7 linked regions of the Macaca fascicularis genome follow. The protein of the gene in region 6 interacts with the protein of the main gene of each other region in a biochemical or structural test. Links are inferred from orthologs where the notes say so. Each region holds a gene or a part of one and is shown on either strand. Other genes may lie near its edges.

Region 1 (3,948 bases), on a different chromosome or scaffold from region 6:
GCTTTGTGAAGAAAGATGGTCACTGTAACGTTCAGTTCATCAATGTGGGTGAGAAGGGGCAACGGTACCTCGCAGACATCTTCACCACATGTGTGGACATTCGCTGGCGGTGGATGCTGGTTATCTTCTGCCTGGCTTTCGTCCTGTCATGGCTGTTTTTTGGCTGTGTGTTTTGGTTGATAGCTCTGCTCCATGGGGACCTGGATGCATCCAAAGAGGGCAAAGCTTGTGTGTCCGAAGTCAACAGCTTCACGGCTGCCTTCCTCTTCTCCATTGAGACCCAGACAACCATAGGCTATGGTTTCAGGTGTGTCACGGATGAATGCCCAATTGCTGTTTTCATGGTGGTGTTCCAGTCAATCGTGGGCTGCATCATTGATGCTTTCATCATTGGTGCAGTCATGGCCAAGATGGCAAAGCCAAAGAAGAGAAACGAGACTCTCGTCTTCAGTCACAATGCTGTGATTGCCATGAGAGATGGCAAGCTGTGTTTGATGTGGCGAGTGGGCAATCTTCGGAAAAGCCACTTGGTGGAAGCTCATGTCCGAGCACAGCTCCTCAAATCCAGAATCACTTCTGAAGGGGAGTATATCCCTCTGGATCAAATAGACATCAATGTTGGGTTTGACAGTGGAATCGATCGTATATTTCTGGTGTCCCCAATCACTATAGTCCATGAAATAGACGAAGACAGTCCTTTATATGATTTGAGTAAACAGGACATTGACAATGCAGACTTTGAAATCGTGGTCATACTGGAAGGCATGGTGGAAGCCACTGCCATGACGACACAGTGCCGTAGCTCTTATCTAGCAAATGAAATCCTGTGGGGCCACCGCTATGAGCCTGTGCTCTTTGAAGAGAAGCACTACTACAAAGTGGACTATTCCAGGTTCCACAAAACTTACGAAGTCCCCAACACTCCCCTTTGCAGTGCAAGAGACTTAGCAGAAAAGAAATACATCCTCTCAAATGCGAATTCATTTTGCTATGAAAATGAAGTTGCCCTCACAAGCAAAGAGGAAGATGACAGTGAAAACGGAGTTCCAGAAAGCACTAGTACGGACACGCCCCCTGACATAGACCTTCACAACCAGGCAAGTGTACCTCTAGAGCCCAGGCCCTTACGGCGAGAGTCGGAGATATGACTGACTGATTCCTCCTCTGGAATAGTTACTTTACAACACGGTCTGTTGGTCAGAGGCCCAAAACAGTTATACAGATGACGGTACTGGTCAAGATGGGTCAAGCAAGCGGCCACAAGGGACTGAGGCAAGCACAATGGTTTCAAAGAAAGACTGTAAGCTCCATGATTAGCATAAAGCACTAACCATGCCTCCATTGTGACCCAATGGCACATAGATGTTGTAGAATAAGTTATGGGTTTTTATGTTTTGTTTTGTGTTTTTCCAAAACTTGAACTTGCAGGCAAGCCTTGGTTGGGTATTTGATTTATCCAGAATGCTTCTCTTTAGGGAACAAGGATGTTTTTAATGGCATAACAAAGGCAAGACTCTGCCTTAATTTTTGAAAAGCTGCTAACTACATGAACACAAATGTGTATTTTTGTTGCAGTGTAGTTTTCCTTCTGTGTAATTTTAAAGTCAGTGTTGAACTTGATTGAAAGCTCATGATGCGCTTCAAAGTGGCAAGTATTTGGCTATCAACTGCCAAAACAAGAGCCTGATTTTTTGAGGCCAGTAATTTGTTTGCTAGAATTGATTTTTTTTTCTCTCTCTCTTTGTTACATAAGGGCATTATGTAACACTAGCCAAATGGTAGCCTCTGGGTTGTTGTTGTTTTTTTTTTCCTCCATGATGTTAATGGGTTATCTCAAATTTTAAGTTAAACTACCTAAAATAAATACCAAAGATAATGCATATTTTTGCACAGTGGAGCTTACACTTAAAAGAAAACAAAGCCCCATGGGCTGCCTTGAAATCAAGAGACAATAACTTTGAACCTCAGCAAGACCTTGAACCGCCGGTTCATTTTGCACCTTATTCAGAAAATAGAGCATCATACTCACCGAGTCTAGTCAGTGTAGTGCTTTTTAAAATTTTGTCCTTTCATGTAACTTTTTTTATTTTAAGAGGAAGAAGAAGAAAGGGGCAGTAAAATTCACATACACACAATACCAACATCCATCCTTTCCTGCTAGGCAGTGCTGGCCAGGCTCATGTGTAGTGTGCGAGATGGTGATGTACTCTTACATGTTTCTGGGCCTTCCCTTTTGCACATTCCAAAATTCATTTCATAAGATCTTCATAGGACCTCCTTGGCATCCTGGCATTCTCAAAACTGAGCCATCCAGCATGAAAGATAAATGGGTGTAAACCCTTGCTGCTGAATTTATTGCCTGGACTGTCAGGACATCGCCAGCCCACCTTCACCTTAGAGGAGATGCCACACCTGGCCTCCACGCTTGTTCCTCTGATCAGTCTGTCTGGAGTGAGTCCTACAGTGTCAGATAGGGCGGTGAATGCCAAAGCGGGGAAACGGGGAGGTGTGGACAAACCAATCTGATGCAGCACTTCAGATCAAGTATTTAGGAGGAAGAGGAAACTTGCCTTTTTTATGGCAGAGGAGAGTAATGAAAATGTCTCAGTATTTTAGGGTCAAAGAGAGTCATAAAAATACAACATAATGACAAGTAAAGGAGATAATGGTCTAAAAAGGCTATTTCCCTTTTCTGTGTGCATACTTATGATTGAATGTGAGCTAAGCATTGTCTCCTGTGGAGCCCTAGAGCAGGTTACTAAGGAAGGACACATTGTTTTCCAGAAGCCTCCCCTGCCTGGCTGACTGCCTTGCTAGACACATTTTTTTTTTTTTTTCTCACTGTAGCTCAATAATGGAACTCTTTTTTTGGTTTTTTTTTTTGTTTTGTTTTGTTTTTAATTTAAAATTCCCTATTTGTGAATTCTGGGGTTACTGACTTTTCTTTTTAATTGGAGTCTCAAAATCAACTCTCTTATGGTATTATATCTCTGTATGCCATTAAAAAACAGCTTGTTCTAGAATCACATATTTTGTAAATTGATGTTTGTGATGGTCTCTGGTTCTTGAACAGCCATATCTGAATGCCGTGCCTGCAAAACTATGACAATTTTTGCTGTTTTCAGCCTTCAGATTTGATGGCTTTGAAAACTGAGGTGTTATTTTCAATGAAACCGAGAAAGAGATGTTAAGCAAGTGGTTGTTTTAGATCCAAATGTTAAGGCAGGTTTGGGAAGGTGTTTAAAGAGTTGGAGGAATTGGGGATTGAGTGGACAAGAAAACTTACAGAAGAGGCAACAATTTGGTTCTTGACAGTGAGAGGATATTGAGGGCTTCAGCTGCTGCTATTATGATGTTTTGCAAAGGAAAATAATCAAACCAAAGAGTATTCAGTGATATGTAAATTAAATGAAGATACAGTGGAGAATGGGGGTGGCCACAAAAGAGGCTCCCCCTAAACACAGAGTGCTGCCACTTAAAAAGACTTGAGAAATTTGAAAGGGGGTGGGTGTGGGGGGGGGCAAGAAAGAGGGAGGGAAATCTTTCAACTTATTTCTGAAAAAGAGAAAAAAATATAAAATTTCTGGTGCACAGGTTTGTTTTTTCAAGAAAATTTTGCAGAAGCTATGTTTTTAAAGTGTACATTTTATAAAGTTTATCAGATATTTTCATATTTAAAGCCAAATGTAAATAGAGGTCTGTAAAGAAAAATAATTGCCATAGAAAGTATAATGTCAGTGCAGCAATGTCTGAGAGCTAGTACCTATATGCTACGGGTTAGCATGGTTTTAGCAAATATATACCAGCCTTATAAGGTTCGTATTGCTATGTTCTTCTGTTATTTATTTCAGCATGGACTGTTCATTTGAAACCTTTTTCTAGTTATTAGCATTTTAACAGTTACACGCTTTACATGGCAATTTTTTCTTTCTTTCTTTTTTTTTTTTT
Region 2 (4,409 bases), on a different chromosome or scaffold from region 6:
CTTCTGTCACCAGCTAACTCCATGATCTTTGGCAAGACACATCCTCTTACAGGACCACAGCTTCCTCATTATTAATTACAGTATTCAGAGCAGAAGTGAAGGCTCCATAGTCCAAGGGACATGGCCAAGTCCCACCCATAGAGCCAGGTTCCATTCTAGAGGTCACTCTTCAAAGAAAACTGTGAATCTGAGCTTGTTGAGATGACAGAACTGAGAAAGGAGGCCATGATTCCTCCCCCACCCCTTCTCTGTAGTCTGTGCAATTGCCCTCTATACTCCTGGTGCCAGTAACTACTTACAGGCTGGAGGCTCCCAGCTCTGTTTCTCCAAACTAGACTCTCCTGATCTCAATGCTGATGTTCCTACAAGACACGTCCACTAGTTTGGCCCAGAGACCCTGCTAATTCAACCTGTCTAAACCAGCATCAGCCGCTCAGCCCCACAACCTACTCCGCTCCTGTGTTTCCTAACTCAGGGTGCAGCACAGCCAGTTACCCTTCCCCCACATGCTAGAAAGCTGAGGTTTGTCTTGAAGCCCACCCAGCATTCCCCCCTCACATCTGAATGGTCACCATGTCGGGTCACTCTTACCTGGTAAGTATCTTGAAAATCCACCCAGCCCTATTCCTAGTCCAACTCTCCTTTCCAGACCCTCATCAATTCTTCTGTGAACTCCACGTGCCTCATGTATTTAAGCCTCACCTATAAGCCCATGACTCCCCACTTTGAATCTCCAGCTCAGACAACCCCGAACTCCAGGCTCAGATAGAACAACTATATCTTTGACATCTATTCTGGGACATATAATTGGCATCTCAAAATTAATATGTCCAGAGCGAAGAGCCTGCTATTTTCTAACCCTGCTCCATCTTAGAGAGACTTCTCCATCTCAGCAACACAATTTTCCCACAAGCTAAAGTTCTGGAACTCTCCCAGATTCTTCTCTCATACCAAACAACCACTCTTCAGCAAACCCCATTGGCTCTACCCTGCAGGCCTTCAAATTACATCTAGAATCTGACCACTTCTCCCCTCCTCCGCTCCACTCTGGCCTGAGCCACCATCTCACTTGGCTTACTACGATAGCCTCCTACTGCCAGTCTCCGCTTCAACTCCTTCCCCTTTCACTCTATTGTCCACATAGCACCATGGAGAGCCTACTGAAATCTACAACAGATTATGTCACTCCTCTGCACAAAGTCCCCAATGACTCCCCATGGTCTCTGAGGCTCTCCACCATCTGGCTCTGTGACTTCTCTAACGTCATCCCTTACTTGTCTCTAGCTCCTTCCTTGCTAGTGACACCTAGTCTCCTTGCTGATCTAGGAACACTTGGCTCACACTCACCTCAAGGGCTTTGCACAGGCCTCTGAATAGAATACTATCACTGACCCCAGGTATCTGTATGGCTGGATCCCTCGCCTCTTAGGGGGCATTACTCAAATGTCACCTTTCTCAGGCTTTCCCTGATCATCAAAATCTCTGAAGGAAACCAGAAGATGAGGCATATTTGGGGGTGACACATTCTGGTCTCCTTTGGCTCCTTAAATGATTCTGATGCATGCCCATCCTGAGTACTTCTGTGTTCGCCTCTACCACCTATCTCATTTATCACATTCGATTTCCACTGTTGGTTGGTTTGTATTCTCCACTAGATGGTAAGCCTAGCAAAATGGTAAGACAGCAAAAGCCGTGTTGTGCTATTCTCTGAATCGCCCAGACCTCGTGTATGGTTGAATATTTGCAGATGTGTGGAGTCCTCACCATTTCAAGTGTTGTCTTAGCTGTGACTGGTTTTCAGTGACACTAACCACTTGGGTAATTTATTAAAATATATTGTAATTACACTGAGGTAGAAACAAAGGTGAAGGGAATGTTTCTTGTTTCTGCGCTTTTGGAAACTCCCAAAAGTTTGGCACAATGGTATGACCAGGACAGGCAAGAATGGGCATGTAAAACTGACTCAGTTACATTACAGCAGTGCATGCTGCCTGAGTGCACTCTGGTGTCAGAGACATGGCCAAGTTGTGGGAAAACTGGATGTTCCGGGTTACAGGATAGGCCATCCCTTGTCGTCGGAGGATGGGGTGGCCCCTCCCAGCTAGACACGGTCACTTTATGTTTCTGATTTCTCTTAGTTCTGCAGCTGCCTCAGTAGCAGTAGGCTTGCCTGTGTGTTCATGAAAACAATAAACTGGTTCCCTCAAAGTGTGAAGAACTGAAAGTAAACCGTTCTGTTTTCTTGCTTCCTGAGCAGTTTGGACGTTTTCCATCTCGGATTTTTGCCTCGATCTGCACCAGCTCCCACGCCCGCGGGGTCCCATCTCCCCGTCCCTACTCCCAATCCCCCATCAAAGACCCCAAGCAGCCACAGCGGAATTGGGGTCTTAAAACCACACGAAGCAAGGTGATGCTAAAAGAGGAGAGCCCGGCTGGGATCTCCCTCCCAAGAGGATTGGTGACCTGGGCAGGGACAGCCAAGCGGTCGCCAAGGGCAGCAGGTGGCGGCGCGGGAAGTGGTTTGACAGCTGCGAAGCCCCTCCCGGGGATCCAGGAGCTGGGGCTCTCGGGGCGGAAGTGAGCCAGGTGCGCGGCCCGCAGCAGGTCCGAGGGCGGCAGCCCCCGGATGGGGCGCTGAGGTTTCCGGGGGTTTGGGGGAGGAGAGGCCGGAGGGGATGGATGAAGAGGGGCAGCCCACCCCGCCTCGGCCAGGCCCTGCGCGGCGCCCGGGGAGGGGGCGGGCAGGCCTCGCGCGGGGCACTCGGGAGCGGGGCGCGAGAGGCCGGGGCGGCCCGGGGCCCCGCTTACCTGTCCAGGGTCTCCACGCTGGGCTGCCGGGAGCCGGCGGCGGCGCCCCCCGCGGCCCGAGGAGGCCTCCTGCCGCCCGCCGGCCCCGGGTTCGGGCCCCCGCCGCCCTCGCAGCCCGCCGCCGCCACTGCCGCCGCCGCCGGCCTGTCCATGGCGCGCCGAGTCCTGCCGCCTTGGGGAAGCCGCCGTCGGGACAGGAGCGGCGGCCGGGAAGGTTTCGCCGCTGGCCTCCTGCCGCCTGCTCTACCGCCCGCCCGCCTCAGGCGGCCGCCGCCATTAGCTGTCACCTGGCGGCCCCGCGTTACCCACAAGGCCGCGCGCGCGGGGGTCGGGGGGCGGGAGCGGGGGCGGGGAGGGCGGTGCGCGAGGTCGGCGCCGGGAACCCCCACCTCGCCCAGCCCCACCTGGGCGCTCGCCCGCGAAGCCTTGGAGCGGGGGTCTGGGACCTCCTGTTCCAGCGACCTGGGTGCGTACAGAGCCACTGGGGTTCGGAATCCCCAAACGGATTATGCGTAGCGTGCTTCGCTCTGTAGTTACACCGGGTTGACTGCAGAGACGTGGGGTGTAAAAAGAAGTTTGAAGACATTCAGGTATTAAAAATGATTCCCCCCCTCAGTTGTCCTTCCCAGAAAAGGTATAGGACAGCTCAAGCTCCTTCGGTCTTGACATCTTGAAGCACGAGCAATTCCGTGCATTATAGCAATTCCTCCCCACCCCATTCTTCCCTCCATTCTCCCGCGCCCTCCCCCCCACCCCGCCGCCACAAACCCACCTCCTTGCCATCTGTAGGGCAACCAAGTGTTCTGATGCCGCCCTCGGAGCTTCCGCCCATGGTTTATGTTAAGACCAACATTTAACTTCTGTTGATTAAAAATCACTGCTATGAAAATCAAGCCAATATCTTGGTGAGGCGTTTAGGACATTGGCTTTCTGGGCTAGATTTATTTCCTTGCTCATTTTGTGTGGGTTCGAATATCCAACAGCTCATCCCCTCTCACCTCACCCCGATTAAGTTGGAAATGGGTGTGTGGCTCATGATTAAGCCTCTTTGCCTGTGATTGCTCTGGGTGTAGACAGGAGTCCTATGACCCAGGTCTGGCAAAGGAGATATAAAGGGAACAATTCGCTCACTGTTAAAAGGCAGACCTGCAGACAGGGAGTTACTCATGCCCATCCCAGACCCATCCTGCCCTACCAGCTTAATAACTTCAAACTGAACTTTGAGGATATGATGCCTGAAGCCCCAACAGCCATCTTACTCACAAGAGGAGGTGAGCCTGGGTTAAGAAGATGACAGAGTGAGGAGGGCTAGGAGGAAGGAAAGGAAGATCCCCAGACAATAATACCTCCTATCTCCCACTGGAGAATCACCTACTGCAGGTTGCTGGCTTTCTAAAATTATTAAATCAAACGGTTAGCCCACTGTTACGGACTGAATGTTTTCATCCCCCTGAAGTCCATATGTTGAAGCCCTAACTCCCTGTGTGATGGTGTTTGGAGATGGGGTCTTTGAGAGGCAATTAGGTCATGAGGGCCAAGCTCTAGTCTGATGGAACTGGTGCTTTTTAAGAAGGGTCACCAGAGAGCTTGATGTCATGCAC
Region 3 (3,948 bases), on a different chromosome or scaffold from region 6:
CTCTCCCCACACATAAGCATGACTGTATCCTGAGAAAGACTCGGCTCACAAAGAGATCTTGTGCTCAGCTGGACACACTCACACCCTCCTCCACTCTCCTTTCTAAAGTTCTTGGGGACAGGTGAAACTGGCTGCCATTTGAAAAGGTGGCCTGCACAACCTGAGATGATTTTCAGACAATTAAAATGCATTTATTTTCCTACTTTCTGTACCCACATTTTACCAGGTTGAACATTGTACAGTCAAAAATGTCTCAGAGATATCCGGCTTGAGTAAAAATCCTGAAAAGTCTATAATAATGTTCTCATTCATAAATTCCTTTGACCAACAAATATTCATTGAGCATTTTATATAGCACTCACATTAGGACAGTAGAAAATACTAATATGTATGAATTCTATTCCTGGCCATTGAGGAACTTGTGCTCTGATTGTAAAAACAAGATAAAAAGACAAGAAAAGTAATTATTTAAAACAATGATACAAGTAGGATTACAAGATAGCCCATAAGTAGTGCCAAATGATGGCTAAAGACAATAAGTACAAGTTGAGAAGGAAGAAAACATAATCATGAAATATACCATTCTTAACTAGTGAAGAATATGAATGGTCAAGTGGTGGAGGTAGGTTGTCTTCCTACCCTTCTTTGGAGAGGACCTGGAACAGGAGAAGTAACTGGAATCCTCTTGAAGGTCTTCACATAATTTAGAAGACACTGGTTAGACACATAACCTAGGGTAGGATTTCTATTCCAGGATAGATTTCCTAGAATTCAAAATATGGGACCTTCTAAGAAAGGAGTTGTAATCATTTCTGGGGAAATTGGCTCTTTGTAAAAATGTATTAACTCAGCCCCATTTGTTGTCATTTTGTTGTACATCCATACCCATGAATGATGCCAGCATCTCCAGATCAATACCGGGCACACTTAAGAGTCATGAATCACACCCAATTCCACACCACCAGCAAGAAATGTTGATGGAAGGAGTTAGACATGAACTGGCTAGGACAAAAGAATTGTGTGTGCCTAGAGAAATAGCCATGGAGGAGGGGAGGGACAGGGAAGAATGGTTTGGGGACATGAAGGACTTGCATCCATTCTTCTAAGAGAAGAGAGAAAGAATGTGAGCAGACAGGGAGACTGGAGAATAGAAATCAACAAAGGGATGGAGAGAAAATGGTGTTGGAAATACAAACTCGGATACGTCAGTGACTTTGAAGAGATTCAGAATTTGGTTGGACAAAATGTCTCTTCACTTTACATTGGCTCCAAATGCCTCCTTAGCATTGTCTCTATAGAGTGAGGAATAGATTTCTTTTTAAATGCAAACATACGTATTAATGATCAAGTAGTGTGTGTCCTGAGTGCAAACTAAAAGTTACTTCCTTAATTGGGGACTTGTCTCCATTCTCTGCCTTACCAAGGGTTCATTTGTTCCAACAAACATCAGAGCACCATTTTGTCTTAGATAACTCATCATCACAAGAATGTGAAATTAAAGATATGCTCTTTATTGCAGAAAAGAATGGGGATTAGAGACTTTTCTTCCCTCTGCTGTGCTGCAAAGCATGAAAGAGAAGAACATAAAGAAAGCACTTTCACACCTTGTCAAAGCAAATCAGAACTTGGTACCACCGGGTAAAAAGGTATCACATTTGCATCTTAATAGAAAATTATAAAGAGAGAGGCTTGAATGCATTTTTTTAAATGTTTAAAATTAGCTCATGAATAAAATACTTAGTACCATATTTTCAGAAGCAGTAACACTGTGTAACTTTTTTCTAACTATTAACATATTTCTAACACTAATGAAAAATAAGTATTCATACAGAAACCTATTTATTTCTCACAAGTTATGGACTCCGTACTGTAGGGGGGAGGTGTGTGTTCATGTGCCCATCCAGGAAAAGTTTGCATAGCCTCTGAGAACTTGTGAATAGAAGATAGAATCGTGAAATAATTCTATGTTTCAATCATGCAATTGCTTACTGCTCAGACCAGCTTAAATGCACAACAGCCAGCAAGAGGCCCTGCAGGCCAGAGATCACATTCATTAAACCAGGGATCCTCAACTGTGGCATAATTGACATTTGAGAACAGATCATCCTTTGTTAGGGAGTTACGGGGAACATCCTGTGTATTGTGGGATATTTAGCAGCATCCCTGGTCTCTACCCACAAGATGCTGGTAGCACCCTCCCATGATCGTGACAAACAAAAATGTCTCCAGACATTGCCAAATGGGCTCCAGGGAACAAAATCACCCCTATTGACAAACATTGGATTCAAACCTACCTTTAGAGGGAAGATAAAATTATTGCTGTCATTCACCATCATTAGTGTTAAAATCTTTTTATGCTTTTGTTTTGTTTTCATTAAGTAAAAGAAACACAAAGGAAATTTTAAAATATACTGTTGGTCAGAAAAGAGAGGTATAGTTTATAGGTAATAAAAAGCAAAAGATTCTAGGAACCAGAAAGAGAAGGAGCCTTAAAATACTGGATCTATAAAATTGGACGCAGTCTTCTAACTGAAGAACACTTTCCAATTGATATTAGCTGGAGAAATTTGTGTGACTCTAATACAAATCACTGTTTACATGGAGAATTATTTTGTCTTAGTGTCTGATTTTTTTAAGTCATTTTTACTGGGTAAGGCACATTTATTTCTATCCCCTCCACACCCCATGACGGTTTTTTTTGTTTGTTTTGTTTGTTTGTTTGTTTTTTAAGTATAATCAGGTTCACCACACTATCAGCCACCTTTAACTCACTTCCCAATTTCATGGGAAGGGTGTCTTTGATCACAGTTGAGCATTCAGCTTACAGAGATGTAGCAAAACAATGCGGGTCAAGTTCTTAACTTCAGTTCTGATTTGCTGGAAGCTGATTTCTCTAATTGACTTGTGATTTTTCTTCCAAGCCTGGCCCACTCATAATAATTTGGATAACTGCTATAAGATCAATCAATCTATCCATTTATCCATCACTGTCCTTTAAAGGTTGTTTTTCTAGCCAAGAGTGAATAGTTTGCTTTCAAAACAATTTGCAAATGCTTTGCTTTTTTTAAAGAAGTAGGATGGATGAATGGTGCTAAGTAACAATTATATAAAGAGCAGTTCCTTCAGGTATAGTTAACAAATAAGCTGGCAAGTCATCTGCAATTGAAAATAGAATTTTATGGTCATTGCCACTTAATGGTGATCTACACCTTGTTGGAAAATTTCAACCTTAATAAAAAATCCCTGGCACATTCAGTATGAAACATTGACCTTTTTTTTTTTTTTTAAATCAAATACTCTTTTTAGTGATATGGGAACCTACATTTTTTAAGTCTTTGTAAAGATAACTTTCATCTGGATAAAATTTCATTTATAAATCATTCGTGAAACTCAACAGATTTTCCAAGTTGAATTAATAAAACTGAGCCTTATATAGCAAGTTCAAACATGTCCACAATGATTGGATCTCAGAAAGTTCATTTCCCCCGAAAACTTGCAAGGACTGGAAGAAACTTGAGAGGGGAAGTGTAAAGGGCCTGTTTAGAAGGCTTTGCCTAGATTGCAGGTGCGTATTCAAAATGATTCCCACAAAGTCTACATTCAGGTGAGTCTCTTGTGCAATGGGAATATATGTGGACACCTCACCTTTGTCCCTAATTGCAAGTAGAAGGCTCCTCTCACTTCTTGAAATCTCCCAGCGAGCAGATGTTCAATGGAACATTTTATGGTCTTGTTCTCACTTGTTGAGTGCCCGGCCCAGCATATCTATACCCATGAGTGCCCCATACATTGACCCTCTAATGAATAAGATGTGAATCTTGATTTTATGTTCCAGTCCTTCATCAGGAAACCAAATATGTAGCAATTCTATTCCTAATGAAGAGTCTTTGTCACATCTCAACTTTTCAGCAGTAAAATCATCCTTCTATCTTAGCCTTGTTTTCTGCT
Region 4 (4,602 bases), on a different chromosome or scaffold from region 6:
TTTGGGGTGACAGGGTCCCAGGGAGGCCCGGAGAAGTTCTGCACAGCCAAGGATGGAGGGACAGGTAGACATGTGGGCTGCAGGACACCCGGCAGAGGGCACATGCAGAGTGGCCAAGGCAAGAGGGAGAACACTTGGGAGAGTTTGAGGAACACAGGGAGGGAGGCCAGGTGGCCAAGGCCCAGGCCAGGGAGGGGCTGAGGAGAGGCCAGAGGGAGCCGGCAGGGCAGCACACACCAGGTGAAAGTTTGGCTTTGATCCCAAGAGAAAGGGAAGGATTTAAACGGGTGTGATGCTAAACGCGTCCTGCTGGCCGTGGTGTAGGGACTGGCCAGAGTGAAGCAAGAATGGACCTAAACTGGAAGGACAGCTCTGCCAGAGCCGTGGGCAAGAATGTGGAGGGAGGAGGAGAAGGAACAGAGGCCCGTCCAGGGAGGCCTGGGAGCAGTGGGGTCTGTGGACACGACAGCTGGAGGGTGCCCAGGAGAGCGCTTTGGCAGAAGATGGAAAGCAGTGTCCTGTGGGCTAGGGGCCATAGGACTTGACTTGGCCTCTGTGGTGTGGGGGCTGGCCTGGAGAGGGAGGTGGCATGGGGATGGCAGGACTGGGGCCTGTGGCAGAGCCTCCTCCCCCGCTGAGCAAGGCATGTGGCCTCACAGAGCTTCAGTCTTCCAGGAAGATGGGGTTCCAGGGAAGGAGCCTCAGCTGCAGGCCGGGAGCCCAGGGGGTGGACCCCCAGGCACAGCGGGGACCCCAGGACAGCAGGGCGGTGGCTAAAGAAAAGCCCAGCGCGGTGGGTCACGGCTGCACTCCCAGCAATTTGGGAGGCGAAGGCAGGCGGATCACGAGGTCAGGAGTTCAAGACCAGCCTGGCCAACATAGTGAAACTCCGTCTCTACTAAAAATACAAAAAGTTAGCCGGGTGTGGTGGTGGGTGCCTAGAGTCACAGCTACTAGAGAGGCTGAGGCAGGAGAATTGTGTGAACCCAGGAGGTGGAGGTCGCAGATCGCGCCATTGCACTCCAGCCTAGGCGACAGAGGGAGACCCCATCTCAAAAAAGAGAAGCCCCAGTGGACGGGCGCGGTGGTTCAGGCCTGTAATCTCAGCACTTTGGGAGGCCGAGGCAGGCGGATCACTTGAGGTCAGGGGTTTGAGACCAGTCTGCCCAAAATAATGAAACACCGTCTCTACTAAAAATACAAAGCATTAGCCAGGCATGGTGGCATGGACCTGTAATCCCAGCTACTCAGGAGGCTGAGGCAGGAGAATCACTTGAACCCAGGAGGCAAAGATTGTGGTGAGCCGAGATCATGCCATTGCACTCCAGCCTGGGCAACAAGAGCGAAACTCCATCTCAAAAGAAAAAAAAAAAAAGAAGAAAGAAAAGCCCCAGAGCGCTTGGCTGGATGGGGCAAGGCCCAAGCAGGTGAGTGAGTGGGTGGGTGGGGGCAGGGGGCCGAGGGGAAGGCTACAGTCCTGGGGCAAGGTCTTGGTGTGACGGGCGGGATGGGGGAGTGCAGTGGTGGCAAGGTGGGGGCAGGGCCGGGTGTGACGGGGGTGTCGAGGTGGGGGCAAGGTTGGTGTCCACTGCAAACAGATTTCACAGGGCCCGGGGTGGTGAGCTGGGGTCAGGGTGGGCTATGGGAAGCCTCAGAGAAAAGGACCCACCCAAGGGGCTGAGAGAGTGGCGGTGGCCAGGAACCAGGGGGCAGGTGGTTTGCTGGTGGACGCAGGGACTCATTCTCCCAGGGCACCGGTGGCTCGGATGACCCAGGAGGGTCCAGAGCATCTCACACTGGAGCTAGGGTCCGGGTGCCCAGACCACCTGCCTTCAGGCTGGGCCCAGACCAGGGGCAGGGCAGGAGTGACATGGGGGGCAGTGGACAAGTGGGACTGTGTCCAGAAACCAGAGGGCCCCTGGCAGAGAAGTCAGGCTCTTCGCAGCCAGCCACGCCGTGGGAGAGGCCCAGGGCAGCTGTGCATGGCATCTCACAGGCAGGACTGGAAAGGATGGGCCCCCACAACGAAAGGGAGGGTGTCTGTGAGATGACCACCACGCCCAGTGCCCCCCAAACAGCAGCTCCCTGAACCCTTCACTCACCCCCAGGGTTCACCATACTCCCTACGTTCTGGCGCCCCCCTCCTCCCCCTCCACCGGGTCGGAAGACTAGGGAGATGGACAGCAACAAAGTGGGCTCCACAGAGGGGCTGGAGAGGGGCCCGGATGGGAAAGAGAAGGTGCCCCTTCCAGGAAAATCCTCCTGCCGGGAGCATCCTCTCACCGCGGGCTTCCTGGCTGGGGGCAGGGTTTGGCGTGAGACCTGGAGGATCCCCTGGGCCTGGCCAAGTCGTGTCCCCTGACCAGGGCCTGGCTGAGACGCCAAGTCAAGGGGCTCTTTCCCGGGCCTGGCAGAGGAGGGGGAATGGCCCTTGGGGGAGTCGTCTCCTTGCTCTCCTTCTCCCCTGGGGGCCCACGGCCCGACCCCCGCCCCGCCCCACAGCAGGTTGCCTGGGGAAGGAGTTGCCGGGTGGAGGGACCCAGCCCAGCCGAACCCAGCCGAGGCCGGGGCGCCTTCCCGGAGCGGGGTCGCGCGACTCACGTTCTCGTGGCGCATGTGCTTGAGCAGGCGCAGCTCGCGGTAGGCGCGCTTGGCGAACAGCTCCGACTGGAAGGGCCGGTACAGCTTCTTGATGGCCACCTTAGCGCCGGTGCGGCTGTCCACGGCCGAGCTGCGGGGCGGACCGCTTAGCGGGAAGGCCGGGCACCCCGCGCAGGCCCCGCCCGCCCCGCCGGCCGCCCCGCGCTCACCACACCGCGCCATAGGCGCCCGAGCCCACGGGCTGCAGGTCCCGGTACACGGCGCGCACCTCCCAGGCCGTCTTAGTCACCTCCTGGCGGTAAAAGCCACTGCGGGCAGGCGGCGGAGAGCTCATGGCAGGCCCGGGAGCCGCCCACCCCGCAGAGCCCGCGGGCGGTGCCCCAGGACCGGGGACCTGGGATCGGCGGGGCTTCCTCGGCGTGCGCCCCGGGCCGACTCTGCGCTGCTCGCCCGCCCGCCGCTGGGACGCTCCTGTTCCCGGCCCTTCCCTCGGGGATGTCCCAGGTGCCGACCCTGGCCCGACCCCGACCCAGGCAGCGCACGGCCCCTCCCCCGCCCGGGGACCAACCGGCCCGCGGGCGGCGCGCACGTGACGCCCTCGCCCGCCCTCCGGCCCCTCCGGAAACCCGAGGCGGCCGCCGCCGGGGGAGGGCCGGAGCCTGGGGGGAAGCGCAGGGGGAGGGGAGCGCCGCCCCGCAGCTTTGTCCCGACCTAGGGCCGGACGCGGCGCGGAGATACCCCCGTCAGCCTCTCCCCTTTGGCTGAACTGCCCCGCTCTGGGGGTGGAGCCGGGAGAGTGGGGAGCTCCTGCGGAGACCCTGGGCTCCAGTCCTGACTGCCCATGGTTCCAGGGCGCAGGGCCCATCCTTGACAGCCTGAGCGCTGACTTCTATCGGCAGTCCCAAGTTGGGCTGAGCCCTGTGTACCTAGAGTCAACTTCCCACGCCACCCCCAAGGATGCCCTACCTCTGCGCCTGATCCATCCATCCCCGAATGGGGGGTCCATCTGCACCTGTCTTGCCTGTATCCCTCTTTCTACACGGAGGGGTCTGTCTCCCAAAATCCTCAGGCTGCATCCCCAACCCCACCCCTGTGGCCACTGACCCCGGGCCTCTCAGTCCCATAGGTACCCGAGGGCCCTTTTGGACACCCAACTCCTCCCCCTGCTCCCCCCATCTGCGGGGTGACTGCTGCAAGTGTTGCAAGTGCTGGTGCCCCTGCCCGTCCCATCCCTGCCTGTCCTGTCCTGCAAAACCCAGGCTGAGGGTGGCTGCACTGTCTCCAGCAGGGATGGGGACCTGCTGGGGCCCTCAGCCTGACCCCTCTGTGTGGGCGTTATCCTCCCATATGTCTGGCCCCATCCTAGACCAGATGCTCTGGTGGGCCAAGCCCCACCCTGACACCCCCTCCACAGTCCAGAAACCTGGGTCTGAGGAGGGATGTGGGTGCACCCCGGGAGCCCACTGGGCTGGTGGGTAACAGGATCGCTAGGGCCCTCTGCCCCGCCCTCCGGCCATGAATCAGCAGCTCAGCCGCTCAAGGGCGGGAGGAGCTTTACACCTGGGCTTTGGGCTGTGTTCCGTGGCATTCATCAGCTCGTGCCCAGTGAGCAGGGGCAGCCCGGGGCTGCCCAAACCACAGCTGCCTGTGGCCTGCACCCTTTGTGCCCTGGGCTGCCTGTGGCACTCCATCTACCTCTTTCAGGAAGCCCAGCTGCCACTGCTGTCCCCCTTAACTCCCCGTGGTGGAGCTCAGGGGTCCAGAAGGCCCCGCACAGACCAGGCTTCTGAGGTGGGGCTGTGTCCCCATTCTGCTCCCACCCCCAACCGCCAACACTGGACTTCCCCCAGGACTGACCACTACACTGATGAGGCCCCAGGAGGGCCCCCAACTCCCAGACAGTTTCCACCCCTACCCAAGACCCAAGCAAGGGCACAGACTGTCCCTGGCCCCTAGAGACACTGCCTGACCCCAAATGGTCTGGCCCCTCCCCCACACGTA
Region 5 (4,477 bases), on a different chromosome or scaffold from region 6:
ACATTACAGTAGTTCACATCTTCTAGCAAATGCCAAATGACACCAAGTGCACACTCGAATACTCAAATGGTGGCCAGTGGAATCAAGAGTTCAAAGAGCACCACACTAAACTAAGGGATCTCGATGCTTCAGAAACACCAAGATGACAACGTCTGTTACAGGTGTTAAATTCCAACCAAAAGTAGAGCACGAATGGAAGGAGGGAAAACAAATTACTCATCTCTACAATACACGTATTTAAATTACCTGAGAGTTAATTGTACTGTTAAACAAGGACTTTATTAATTTAAAGTAACAGTCAATATGTTACACTATGGAGAATATTCCAGAAAATAGAAATATCTCAGAAAAAAATACTACACACACACACACACACACACACACACACACACACGTGGGCGCGCGCGCGCGCGGAGGGGCGCCCGCTAGTGTGAAAAGCAGAAGGGCGAACCTGGGCCTTATCCTAATAGCTCTCATTTAATTCACCCAGTGCTTTTCAAAGGCAGATATTTTACTGATAAGGAAACAAGGCAAACAGGTGAGGTGGTCCAAGGTCCCACGCGCTACAGCTCTCTCTCTGGTATAAGGAAATACACTAGGCATGAAGAAGCAAACGGATGGCAAGAAGGGACAATGGTAAACTTTCCCATAGATTCTCTTAAGCTGATTGAGGGAGGGCAAGGGGATCAGGAATCCATTCTCTCAACAGATAGCCCTTCAGCCATTTTTCTGAGCCACCCTCGGAATCGCAGCTGCCATCAGATGTGGATGTAATACAGTGAGCAGTTACCAAACTCAACCGTTTGCTGAGTGAATGAAGGAACCAGAGTAGGCAAAGTGGGAAACCAACTCTCCTGGGAAACCAGCACCGTGTTAGGCCCTGGCGTGCCCCCAGGGCGCCTGCAGGGGTGCCACGGGCATGACGCGGCCCACCTTCCCCAGGCACCGCAGCGGAGAGAAGGCTCTTCAGAGCGGCCCCCAGAGGAGCCTTCACGGGCATCGCCGCACCTCCACCGGCAGCTCCACCCCAACCCTGGTCGCTGGGAATTCTGCCCGACCCTAGGCCGGCGCGAGCGTGGGCAGCGAGGAACCAGCTGAGAAGCAGGATCAAAGAGCTCGGGAGTTGGAGACAAAGAAAAACTGGGGGACAGAGGCAAAAACTCGGATCCGAAAGGGGGTCTGTCCATCAGGGCACGCCGGAAGAGTGGCGCTCGAGCTGACGGCGAGAGCTGGCGGGCCGGGGCGCCGAGGCTCAGGGCTGCTTCGGCAATTCGCGGGGGTGACTTGCACCCCGGGAGGCGAGAGCGCCTGGGAAGTCCAGCGAGGCTTACCTAACTTTCCCGCCCGCGGAAGGGAAGCGGGGAACTACTGCCTCCCACCATCAGGTACGACAGGAGGCCCAGGCCCACGCGCAGACGCAGGGTTGTGGGGCGGACACCCACGGCCGAACAGCCAGTCGCAGAAAGGGAGGGGCGGGCAAATGGGGCAGCCCCACCTAGCCGCTCGCGTTCATTCCTCCCGCGGCTTTCCAGGTTTGGGGTAGGCGGGAGCGGTGGGCTTAGAAGCCGGAAGTGGATTGACGTAGCCCGGAAGGGGAATACTTCCCAGTTACAGTGTTGATGTTTTCAGGCTCCTGCTGCTCCTGTTGCGGCTAGGGGAACTGTCGTGGGGAAGGATGGTGTGCGAAAAATGTGAGTTAAGGGGCTGCTTCTGCGGGAGGAGGAGGCTGGGATAATCTAACTGAGCCCTCCCGGGAACTTTGCCTTCTCTTTGTTTTTTTCGCCCACAGGTCTCTGATTCTAGCCGCTGTCTTTCTACCCTACCCTTTGACCATTTTTGCACCTCCCCAACGACCATACAGTCCTATGTATTTTGTACTCAGAATGGTCTCAGTTCTGCACCTCCCTCTCTATTTCCATTGCCTTCCCCCAGCCCCAGATCTCATCGGCTCCCCTCCCATATAAAAATGTTCAGTTAAACCCCAGCGACACCTTTCCCTCTTGGCAATTCCTGTCCTTTCCTTTTTATTCGTGTAACAAGTATTGTACTCCTGCCAAATGTTAGACACTGGAACCAAAGACTTAGGACTTTGCCTTATTCATTCTCATTAGTCATTATGCCAGGATATGGCGTAGAGTAAACCCAGAGATGTTTGAATTGAACATCAACGTAAGTGCAAATTATTATTTCCCTAATTTAAATCCTTTAATAAACTCTCAGTGTGCAGAGAATAATTTGGGGATTCTATATTTGGAACCTGACGTTCAGTACCCTCCACACTAAGGCGCTAACTTATTTTTCCAGCTTCATTTTCACTGACCCTCATCCTCTTCACACTTTGACCAAACAAAATACTCTTTGTGCCCATGTGTACTCTAAGCTTTCTATGCCTTTCCTCAGAATGTGTCCTTTATCTAGTTTGCGTTCATCCTCTTTACTCCTTTTTGTTCACAGTCCTGTTGCCACATATTCAAATCCTCTCTCTTGCCTTCTCTCCAAACTTTGTTTTCTTGGATTTCCTTAGCCAGGGTTATTTTTTCCTGCCTGGAATTTCTCCTAGTACTTTAGTTCTCAATTATTATATCTTTTATTTTTTAGCTTACATTTTGGTTGAATGGTTCTTTTTGGGGAGACGGTCTGTGATCCCTCTGAGAATCTGATGAAAACTGTAGCCTCTTGCCAGGAAAAAAAACTGAAAATATAAAAGGTTTGTGTACAACTCCACCTTGTTCACATATCTCTTAAGATCCACCTGGGGAACCCAGGTTACAGATTGCTGTTAAAGAAATTAGTATACTATAATCTCATTAAAATTTTGTCTGATTCATCACTTTTTCTCAGCACTTTCTATAGTTTATACATCATAGATGCTTAGTAAATATTTATGGAACAAATAGACTTATTGGATTTTTTAAAAGTATAAACAAACAGTGAAAGCTTATTATAAGCCATCTTATTATCCTGCGAATTTTACCGACGGTCAGTCATTCATTGCCCACAGTTAATATGAGTCTCAGTTGACTGGCTGCTTTCTCAGCATTAACAGGCTCCTATGGTAATAGCATTGATAGTCGATACCATTGTGAGCCTTAGGCACAATGTAATGCACTTATGAAATAGTAAATTTTAATTTTCCTTTTACTATCTTGTTCTAACAGGTGAAAAGAAACTTGGTACTGTTATCACTCCAGATACATGGAAAGATGGTGCTAGGAATACCACAGGTATTTCTTCTTTTAGAAAATAGGAATTTAACCAAATACTTACTGTGAATTATATTTTAGCTTTTACATTATTTGTACAATGAAATGTTGTATGTTCAAAGTATTTTATCTATTAAATATTAAAGAATACTGGGTCCCCAAGTGATTTAATATCTTTTATTTAGTTCTCAGTTACTTGTATGGGTTCCCAATATCAGGAGATAGCAAAATTATTAAATGATTGTCAAGTGGTGACAATATCACAGTATTTGATTATCACAATATTTGATTTGATTCAGCTTATTTAGAGTCTGTTTTTAATTTCCCCACTCTTCTGAGGAGAAATTTTTTTAAATCTTCTGATTTTTATATTCTTGAATAAATAAATGCTTTAACCCATTTTACCTTCATTATCATTAAATCTTTATAATGAAGTATTTACCTTCATTATTATTAAATACATATAGTAAAGTATGTTTTCAAAGCGTAGACAAATAAACATTTTCATTATATTGAAGGTCTATGACACTGAAGTAGTGGCTTCTAGATTTTACACTATATAGAGTAAATATAGACCCATTCCTAAAGTACTCCCTTGAGTCTGAGAAATAAAATGATTGTATTTTATACAAATTTTTACTGTTTCCCTAATAAATGTTTTCTTTTTAAGCAGTGTCTTAATAGCCTACTAAATGAGGATTTAAAAATTAGATACAGACTACTATTTTGGTAGAAAGTCAAAGAATGAACTTCTTAATGTTTTATGTTAAATGTATAGAAATAACCCACTAAAATATCTTTTATTCTGATACAGAAAGTGGTGGGAGAAAGCTGAATGAAAATAAAGCTTTGACTTCAAAAAAAGCAAGGTGGGTAAGAGCATCCATAGACAGATCATATAAATTTCCTTTCTTTTAGTATTAAGTCTGCTGGAGTGAATTTGATGTGCATCATTCCATTTGCAATAAAACATAAAGGTAGGTGGTTCATAGCACTCAGAACCAAGCTATCTGTTACAATCCTGCTGGTTTTACCTTATTCCTCCTTGGCTGTATCAATATATGAAGATATTAGTGTTATTCTCTTACAGTTTCACCAGAAAACATGACTTGTATTTTATCTCCTTCTTAATTATCCTATGAATCAGAGACAGCAGGGAAATGTGGAAAGATGGTAAGCTTTGGAGTCAAACCTGAATTTGAGTCTAGACCCACTGTCTAGCCTTATGACCTTAAGCAAGTTAAGCAAGTTTCTTGACCTTTCTAAACTTTACT
Region 6 (3,948 bases):
AGTATTCATAAAGACCCCAAACTACCATCTCCCCATAGCTATCATTTCATAAAAGATAAAAAATCCTAGAGTAAGGGCAAACCTTTTAAATAAACAAATGTGTGAAACCTCATTACCACTACTCAATCCTTCTATTTCTCATTTTACTAGGGACAGACAAAAACTCATAAACTAGCATATGGGACCCAATTCTGGATTTAAATGACAACTTTTCTGACAGGCTTAAACTCACTGACAAAGGATACTTAGGTTTTTAATACAGATGGGCATTTCCATGGTAAGCAGAGTAGTAGTTATTATTTATGACAGATTTGCTTCTAATGCATTTGAAATCAGGCCCTCCCCCATAACGCAACTTCAGTTTTTTGTTTGTTTTTGAGACGAAGTCTTGTTCTGTCACCCAGACTTGAGTGCAGTGGCACGATCTCGGCTTATTCCAACTTCCGCTTCTTGGGTTCGAGTAATTCTCCTGCTTCAGCCTCCCCAGTAGCTGGAATAACAGGTGTGCGCCACCACACCCAGCTAATTTTTGTGTTTTTTGTACAGATGGGGTTTCACCATGTTGGTCAGGCTGGTCTCAAATTTGCGACCTCAAGTGATCCACCCACCTCGGCCTCCCAAAGTGCTCGGATTATAGGTGTGAGCCACCACACTTGGCCCCATAATGCAACTTCTAACCCAAGGACTTGAGTCCAAGTCAATACATGATAATTTCAATTTGGTGGGCACACTTAAAATAACAAATTTAATACTGTAAAATACTCCAAACATATAGAAAAGTAAATAACAGACACTATGTATCCATTATCTTTTATCAGATATAAATATTTTACATTATCGCTTAAACATTTTAGTAACTTGATACTGAAATATTAATATTCTATGTTTGCTTTAGCTCTTTCTATGTATGTACATAATAGTTTGAGAAAAAACTGCATAATGCTCCTTTACCTCATATTTCTTAAAAACAATGGCATCTCTTATATAATCACAATATGATTCCAAGTGGCCATCTAATGTTCCTTATTGGAAAAGAAAAAAAAAATTTCCTGGTCCAGGATCCAATTCAGGATCATAGGATCACACACTGTGGTTAGCTGTAAAGCCTCCTTAGTCTCCATCAATCTGACACAATTCCTCAGTCTTGGTCTTTCTTGATCTTGATGTTTTTGAAGAGTATAAAATATTATGTCATAGAATATGCCTCAACCTGGGTTTGTGTGTTTCCTCACTCTCGGATGGCAGGTTACACATTTTTGGCAGGAATACCACAGATATAATGTGTGTCCTTCTCAGTCCATCATATCTGGGAGGTGATATTATATCTATTTGTCCCACTGGTAGTGATGCTAATTTTGATCACTTGTTTAAGGTTTTATCTGCTAGGTTTCTCCACTGTAAAATTATTACTTTTGCCTTTGTAACTGATAAGTATTTTGGGGGAGGACACTTTGAGACTATATAGATATCCCATTTTTCATCAAATGTTCACTAATTTTAGAATACACTGATGGTTTTTGCCTGAAACAATTATTACCATGCAGTTTTCAATATTTTCTAATCATTTCTTCTACCTTGATTAGTAGACAGTCCAAAGTGTTCCCTTCTATCCACTTATTTACTCATATACAGATGCTCCTTGACTTATGATGGGAGTTACGTCCCAATAAACCCAAGTTGAAAATACTATAAATTGAAAATGCGTTTAATATACCTACCCTACTAAACATCATAGCTTAGCCTAGATTACCTTAAATGTGCTCAGAACACTTACTCTACAGTCAGACAAAATCATCCAACATACCTGTTTTATAATTAAGTGTTGCATTTTTCATGTAATTCATTGAGTCCTGTACTACAAGTGAAAAACAGAAAGGCCGTATGGGTACTTGAAGTATGGCTGCTACTGAATATGCATCACTTTTGCGCCTCTGTAAAGCTGAACCATTCTAAGTTGGGGGCCATCTGTGTTTATTTCATTATGGAGTCTAGGATTTTAATTTTACTCTATATATTATAATCTGTGATTATCATTTATCTTGATATTCAAATTATCTCAGACTTGGCCAGTGGGGGACCCCACAGCTTGGTTCCTTGCCTTTTTACACACCCTCATCACTCGTGGACTGCTCCCTTGTTTTTCTGGCAGCAAAAATGTTACAGGCTCATCTTGCACTTTTCCAGTCCTGGCCCCAGAATCAGCCATTTCTCTAAGGAGTCCTGAATCTTTCAATTAACGAATTATATTTAGAAGCCAAGACCTGGGCACCAGATATTCTCATGGCTTATTCAGGGTTATTTTTAGGTCTTCTTAGTGGATAGAGCAAATAAGCATACGTGTGTGTATATGTAAATACACATCTTTCTAGATCTACTCTATTACAATTCATGGGTTCATATTCATAGCTCTAATTATCTAATATCTCCAATCCAATTATCAGAGTTCATTTTATCCTCTCCCTTTTTCTGACAGTCAAACCTCACTCCCACTACTGTCATTACATTAGTTTATTTGCTCAACCCTAGAATATATATTAGTTTCAGAACTGTAAGACCATACACTCCACCCAACAAACCTACTGATTAGAATTTTATTTTGTTTACAGATCTTTCTGTCTTCAGCTTGTGTTAAAGAATCTCTGGGATTAAGACTTCTCCCTTCTCCCCTCTTCAATGTAGTTATTCATTTGAAATGGTTGGATATCATATCCTATGTACAAAGGCCATTTTTATATCTTATTTTTGTGTGAACTATGTATTCTCATCTTTTGTCCATTTTTTTTTTCCCTATTGGGTTTCTGGTCTCTATTCCCTGTTTTTATGAGTTCTTTATATATTGGGAATATTAGCCCTTTTCTTCTTGCAAATTTTTTCTGTCAGTTGTCTTTTGACATTGTTAATGGTGTTTTCTAATAGTTTTTGGAAAAGTTCTTTGGCCATAAAAAAAGTTTTTAAAAATTTTAAGTGGTTAGATTTATTGATTTTTTCTTTTCTTTTCTTTTTTTTTTTTTAAGAGCCAGGGTCTTGTTCTGTTGCCCAGGCTGGAGTTCAGTGGCATGATCATAGCTCGCTGCAGCCTCAAATTCCCAGGCTTAAGTGATCCTCTCAACTCAGCCTTCTTAGTAGCTAGGACTATAAGGGTGTGCTGCCATACCTGGCCCTTATCTCCTTATAATATATGCTGGAGGGTTAGGGTTAAACAAAGGTCTATCTCTAGCAAATGACCTTAAAATAACTTCTCCTCTTACATTCATGTTACCATTCCTATTTTCACTTTCTTTGTCTACCTTATTTACCTGTTTTATCTTGTATGCACTTTCCTGAGCCACCAAAAATTAATCATGTAGGTAAGCAAATTCATTACGTTAATAAAACTAATTAATGCTGTATCTATCCTACCACTCTTTCATACTGTCAAAGGCATATCTGATTAGCAGCTATATTCTGGGACTAGTCTGATGCTTACCTTTTCTGCTACTTCTCGCACAGATTGAACACTTGTTCCATATAGATGATTGTTATACTGGCCAGCTTCAATGAATTTATGTTCCTGGATATCTTTTTCCATCTGCTCTCTTGAAGTCACAAAATGATAATCTCTTCCGTCTACCTCATAATCTCGTTTTGGTCTAGTTGTATCTTTAACAGAAAAAAACTTGGGGAAGTGTTTAATATTAAAAAAAAAAAACCCACAATAAATCCATTTTCTACTTATATCATTGTTTTGTAAAGTTCAACAGATTAATTTAAATCTGAGAAAGGACAACAATATGGAGGATGGAAGAGTAACTGATAAAATAGGTACAAACCGTTAAAAAATGGTTCTACCTATTTTTCCCACACACAGTGACAGGCATTGTTAAGAGTAACAATGAAATGTTTTTGTCTGGTTTACTCACGAGGGACACAGGATCCAAATTTGTCGGGAAATTCTGAGATCAAGTCGTC
Region 7 (4,719 bases), on a different chromosome or scaffold from region 6:
CGGATAAGCCACTGACCCTAGCCAGGGTTATTTTGGATTGTGTTTTCAGATGATAGCAGGCAATCTCCAGCCTCACATTGAGGAACTCTGAGTTCTGAGCCCAGCCCAACCAGTCTAAAAACATTACTGGCTGGGTGCAGTGGCTCACGCCTGTAATCCCAGCACTTTGGGAGGCCGAGGCGGGCAGATCACGAGGTCAGGAGATCGAGACCATCCTGGCTAACACGGTGAAACCCCGTCTCTACTAAAAATACAAAAACAAAATTAGCCAGGCGTGGAGGCAGGCGCCTGTAGTCCCAGCTACTCGGGAGGCTGAGGCAGGAGAATGGCGTGAACCCGGGAGGCGGAGGTTGCAGTGAGCCGAGATCACGCCACTGCACTCCAGCCTGGGCCACACAGCAAGACTCCATCTCAAAAAAAAAGAAAAAAGAAATAGCAGGGTAAGAAAATGAAGAGGAAAAAGAGGACCCAAATGAGAGAACATTGGGAAGGGTGCTAATTGGACACAGGGGAAACTGAACCCCTGGGTCTAATTCACAACTCTGTTTCTCCATGTGCGTGTGGCTCTGCTTCTTGGGGGCAGGGATGACAGCAAAGAAGGACAGGGGTGGTGTGAGGTGTTGGGTTAGAATGATAGGATCAAAGAGGCCTTTTCCCAACCCTCTGTTTAAAAGGTTGGGAAGTAGTGGCCAGTCACCTTCTTCACAGCATAGCTCATAGCTATAACCTGTGAGATATATGTCAACACGCCTTCCACAAGCATATAAACATGAGTGTGTTTGCTGAGGTAGGTGTGGGAATCTGTCAGTCAATGAAGATATGTTGTTGTGTGAACTAGCTGATGGTGCATGTTTGTGCTTGAAAGCCATAAAGTTCTATGCAAAATCTATGGGTGGCACTGTTGCACAATGCTAGTGGGTGTGTGGGTATGGGGGTGTGATTAACAGTTTACAGGCTGTGTATAAGTGTGCAGGGATGTCTGAGTGTGTCCAAATTAAAACAGAAATGTGTGCCAGAGTATGATACAAGTACAGGAAAGTACTTGGGCTTTGGAGTCCGTCTGACTTGGCCTTGAATTGTTGGCTCTGTCATGAACCAGATGTATAACCTTGGGCCAGACACTCAATCTTCAATTTCCTCAGCTAGGAAATGAGGCTAATAACAAGTACCTTTCAAAATTGCCATAAGGACTAGAAATGATATCGTATAGACAAAGCTTTTGGTGTCATAGCCTACGCATAGCAGGACTCAAAAGTAGGCAGCTATTTTCATGCACTGTCAGTATACCTCTGGTGGGTACAGGGGCAAGAGGGAACAAAATGTGACCTGTATATAAGGTGTCGGGGAGGAGGTGTGTGTGTGTGTGTGTGTGTGTGTGTGTGTGTGTGTGTGTGTTTACAAAACAATTTATTCTCCTTCTCCAAGGAACCCCCTATTCAGACAGGAGCAGGAAGGTGGGAGGGGACATACAAGTGTCCACAGACACCTTGGGTTTCTGGGTCCTGGATCTAAGTGAGTAAGGGGTTGAGAGGCCCATGGGAGCTGCAGGAAGCCAACCGCCTGCCGAAGCTTCCTTTTTTTTCCCCTCCGCCCAGCAACCGTTGAATACCGCCACCCACATCCACTCCCCACCTCCACCCTCACCCCTCCTCCACCCCACTCAGCTTTCTATTCAACAAGTGAGAGCAAGGGTGGAGAAGAAAGCCGACAGGGGAGAGGATTCCTTCCCTTTCTTTCCCCATTCCCCCTTAAGACGAACCAGGAAGCAACCGCAGGAATCGGGCCACCTTAACAGTAGAGTAATGGTTTGGCCTCATGCCAAGTCCCACCTCTGTTCCAGCTCCTGCTCCTCCCCTCTCTCTTCCCGCACTGCTTGGGGAGAGCTGGTGAGCAGGAGTCTGGCCCGAGTTAGCTAGAGCTGTTGCCATGACAAGCATTTTCTTAAGAAAGCTCTGCTGTTGAGATTGTCCAACGCTGGGGGCTGGGAGGGGGGCACGAACTTCCTGGGCAACCATCCCTCTGAAGAGAGCAAGATCAGAGACACCCGTCCAGCTCTCCTGCACCCTTTTTCTTTCAGGAACCTGAGAGGTCCTTCCCATTGGAAGGGCAGGGGGAGGAGACCCAGCCCACTCCCCGGCCTTAGCCGGAAAGGCAAGAGAGCAAAGCCAGCGTCTCCAGCTTGGTTGCCACACTGGGGAGACTGGTGGGTGGTCACTCCACCCTACCCCCATCCATGGAAACCCGGAGGGAGAGTCCCACTTGGAGAAACCTGGATCTTTGCTAGAAAGAGAGGTAGGCTTGCAGAGAATGAATTGACTTGTGATTTGCAAACTTTGTTTCTTTCTTTTCTCTCAGTGGCTTCTAAAACTCCCCGATTTTCCTCTTTCTAGCATATTTCATGCGACTGGGTTTGGAGGATTTTTAAAAATATGTGTGTGTGCACAGATTTGTCAAATACTGTTTTCTGAGAAACTGTATAGTCAAATAAGTGATTTATCTCTCTTTTTTTAGTTCTTGTCATTCCTGTGCTATGGGGTAGGGGAATGGAGGGACTCTCTTTTTGACACCAAAATTGAACTCTTGGAAAAAACATTTATCTCCCCTCCCTCAACCCATTCCATTCCTGCCCTCCCCTTCCCCCTTGGCTTGGGAATGAGACGCAGGATGGAAAACTGTTGCAAAAATATTTTCCGTGTCTGTTCCCTTTCTCAAAAGCCCAAAAGAGAGATGGGAAAAAAAAAAAAAAAGGAACTAAAGAAATCTTCGGCAGGAAAGGGGGGCTGCAGCGGGAACTAGGAGAGGGGCACTTTGGGGCCATGGGGTAGAGGTGGGCTGGGAGAAGTTGGGAGGAGTGGGGGAAGGAGAGTGCACAAATTAAATTTCTTTAGCTTTGCAGAGAAACCTAAGCAGTTTCTCTGTGTTGCTTGCAAAACATCCTCAGACTTTCACATCTATAATTAGCTGTGGAAAAAGCTGGGAGTTCCCTCGTACCGCTGTTGTTTGAGAGTGTGTGAGCGTCCAGAACCAACTGTATGAGTGTCTCCGAGGGCACCGCCCCACACATCTCTGGTCCCAAAGGGGAGGAAGGAGAAGGGTGAATTGAAAAGTTTCCGATTTCAAGGCTGGAGACTGTGGGGCTGGTGAGTGTTTGGCAGACGGGGTGGGCCACAGGCATCTGTGGAAGGGTCCCTGAGCATCTTGGGTCATTTCCTTGGTTTGCTGAAGAGCTAGGAATTAAGAATGGGATTGTCCTTCCTGCTCTCCTTTCTCTCTTTCTCTTACGTACTTGGTTCGCTCTTGGTAGAGGGGGCTGCTGGCATCCTTCCCCGAGTCACGTCTGGCCTCATACACTCCTCCACCTCCCTGAGGGTACCCGCCGCTCTTCTCCAACTGGGTGTGGAGGGTGCAGGAGTGGCCAGCCACATCTTGGGAGGGGAGTGGGCACTCTGCTGGCCAGAGGCACCTCCCTCCTGGGCATTCCTGCCGGACTTACAATAACTTGCAGACATGATGCCGGCGCCTGCTGGCCGGGCAGGGGGAATGTCAGATGAAGCAATAGGCCGGCATTCAACTGAGGCCCCTGTGGGGAGGGGAAAGGAGTTGGGGAGGGAAGGGAAACAAAATCCCATTCTGTAGTGCTCCCTCCTCTGGGTGAGGAGTCTGGCAGGGAGTCTAGAGACCCTCGCCCTGCTCCTTAAGCCCCTCCCCAAGCTGCCCTTTCTCCAGGGCTTCTCATTGGAGGCCCTCCTGTGCCCCCTTCACTCTGGGCCCTCTACCTGGAGGAAGGAGACCAAGCTTATTCCAGGCTGGGCCAGGCCCAGGAAAGGAGCCTGGGGGTGAGGAGGGGCTGGGCCAGGAGCGTTTAGGAAGAAGGGGACGGAAAGAGGCCTCCTAGCCCATGAGCTGAGTTACCCTCCTTGGCTGAGGGTGGTGGCTTGGGGAGCAGACTCCGGGAGGGGCAGGAAGGATGGTGGCAGCTTGGTAAGCCGTGTTCTGGAAGGTGGGCCCTAAACCCTGAAGCAGACAGATCTGTGGGAATCAGGCTGGGGGAGAGGAAACACCTGCCTTCAGCCCCAGGGCTTGGAGGAGTGGTAAAGGCTACAGCTGAGAAACTGGGGGAGAAGGAAGCAAAACACTTAGAGGAGAGCTCATCTCGGGGCTGAGGAAGCAACAGGAACCGATTTTCATTTTGAGGTGTTAATTGATCTGACTGCACCCCATTGGCTAGACTCTTCCCTACCTGTATTCTGGTCGGTAAGGGAATGAGGCCTTCCCCAGTGGGCAGGGGCCCCAAGACAGAGAATCAATGCCGGTGTTCTGGAGGGAGGGGATCCATTTCTTTGCTCCTCCTCGGGAGTCCCATCCTCCCTGCCACCATCTTGCTGAGGTGCAACCCCGAAAATCACGCCGCTTCCGCCGCGGCCTCCCGTCGTGGGGGCCCAGAGTGTCACTATTCCTGCAGCCGGCCTTCCTATTTTCAGTAATCTGATTAGGGGTAGATGTTGACGGGCTCAGGGACTGTTTCTCCGTGAGGTCGTTATTTAGCGCGCACCGGGTTGCCTGCTCCCGCGGCTTTGAGCCTGGGGTCGCTGCCAAAGCGGGGAATCGGCTCCCGCAGTCTCAGCCCTTCCCCCGGGGCTCGGGGCGGGATCGACTGCGCAACCCCGCGGCCCCTCTGCTTTCCGCGGCCTCTGCGACCCCGCCCCGCCAGCCTCTCCG

What was found.
Region 1: the proteins of DLG1 (region 6) and KCNJ2 form a complex in vitro, tested with the Homo sapiens proteins (2 studies listed by BioGRID and IntAct, with this or other methods). The link is inferred for Macaca fascicularis from reciprocal best matches to the Homo sapiens genes DLG1 and KCNJ2.
Region 2: the proteins of DLG1 (region 6) and MTMR1 interact in a test that uses a peptide from one of them, tested with the Homo sapiens proteins (2 studies listed by IntAct, with this or other methods). The link is inferred for Macaca fascicularis from reciprocal best matches to the Homo sapiens genes DLG1 and MTMR1.
Region 3: the proteins of DLG1 (region 6) and FRMPD4 interact in a test that uses a peptide from one of them, tested with the Homo sapiens proteins (2 studies listed by IntAct, with this or other methods). The link is inferred for Macaca fascicularis from reciprocal best matches to the Homo sapiens genes DLG1 and FRMPD4.
Region 4: the proteins of DLG1 (region 6) and MAPK12 interact in a test that uses a peptide from one of them, tested with the Homo sapiens proteins (2 studies listed by IntAct, with this or other methods). The link is inferred for Macaca fascicularis from reciprocal best matches to the Homo sapiens genes DLG1 and MAPK12.
Region 5: the proteins of DLG1 (region 6) and CRIPT form a complex in vitro, tested with the Homo sapiens proteins (3 studies listed by BioGRID and IntAct, with this or other methods). The link is inferred for Macaca fascicularis from reciprocal best matches to the Homo sapiens genes DLG1 and CRIPT.
Region 7: the proteins of DLG1 (region 6) and ATP2B4 form a complex in vitro, tested with the Homo sapiens proteins (2 studies listed by BioGRID and IntAct, with this or other methods). The link is inferred for Macaca fascicularis from reciprocal best matches to the Homo sapiens genes DLG1 and ATP2B4.

The regions. Positions count from the first base shown.
Region 1 is NC_088390.1:76,476,730-76,480,677, forward strand, and holds part of KCNJ2 (inward rectifier potassium channel 2), read left to right. Parts: coding exon 1-1,148; 3' UTR 1,149-3,948.
Region 2 is NC_088395.1:156,756,907-156,761,315, reverse strand, and holds the start of MTMR1 (phosphatidylinositol-3-phosphate phosphatase MTMR1), read right to left. Parts: upstream 3,094-4,409; 5' UTR 2,961-3,093; coding exon 2,809-2,960; intron 1-2,808. UniProt on the Homo sapiens protein: Lipid phosphatase that specifically dephosphorylates the D-3 position of phosphatidylinositol 3-phosphate, generating phosphatidylinositol. Could also dephosphorylate phosphatidylinositol 3,5-bisphosphate to produce phosphatidylinositol 5-phosphate.
Region 3 is NC_088395.1:12,477,351-12,481,298, forward strand, and holds part of FRMPD4 (FERM and PDZ domain-containing protein 4), read left to right. Parts: intron 1-1,519; coding exon 1,520-1,646; intron 1,647-3,948. UniProt on the Homo sapiens protein: Positive regulator of dendritic spine morphogenesis and density. Required for the maintenance of excitatory synaptic transmission. Binds phosphatidylinositol 4,5-bisphosphate.
Region 4 is NC_088384.1:1,294,723-1,299,324, reverse strand, and holds the start of MAPK12 (mitogen-activated protein kinase 12), read right to left. Parts: upstream 3,104-4,602; 5' UTR 2,936-3,103; coding exon 2,811-2,935; intron 2,732-2,810; coding exon 2,602-2,731; intron 1-2,601. UniProt on the Homo sapiens protein: Serine/threonine kinase which acts as an essential component of the MAP kinase signal transduction pathway.
Region 5 is NC_088387.1:75,424,871-75,429,347, reverse strand, and holds the start of CRIPT (cysteine-rich PDZ-binding protein), read left to right. Parts: upstream 1-1,588; 5' UTR 1,589-1,675; coding exon 1,676-1,691; intron 1,692-3,158; coding exon 3,159-3,224; intron 3,225-4,017; coding exon 4,018-4,072; intron 4,073-4,477. UniProt on the Homo sapiens protein: As a component of the minor spliceosome, involved in the splicing of U12-type introns in pre-mRNAs. Involved in the cytoskeletal anchoring of DLG4 in excitatory synapses.
Region 6 is NC_088376.1:2,497,429-2,501,376, forward strand, and holds part of DLG1 (disks large homolog 1), read right to left. Parts: coding exon 3,900-3,948; intron 3,640-3,899; coding exon 3,467-3,639; intron 1-3,466. UniProt on the Homo sapiens protein: Essential multidomain scaffolding protein required for normal development. Recruits channels, receptors and signaling molecules to discrete plasma membrane domains in polarized cells.
Region 7 is NC_088375.1:61,453,502-61,458,220, forward strand, and holds the start of ATP2B4 (plasma membrane calcium-transporting ATPase 4), read left to right. Parts: upstream 1-1,868; 5' UTR 1,869-2,292; intron 2,293-2,995; exon of another isoform or gene 2,996-3,140; intron 3,141-4,719. UniProt on the Homo sapiens protein: Calcium/calmodulin-regulated and magnesium-dependent enzyme that catalyzes the hydrolysis of ATP coupled with the transport of calcium out of the cell. By regulating sperm cell calcium homeostasis, may play a role in sperm motility.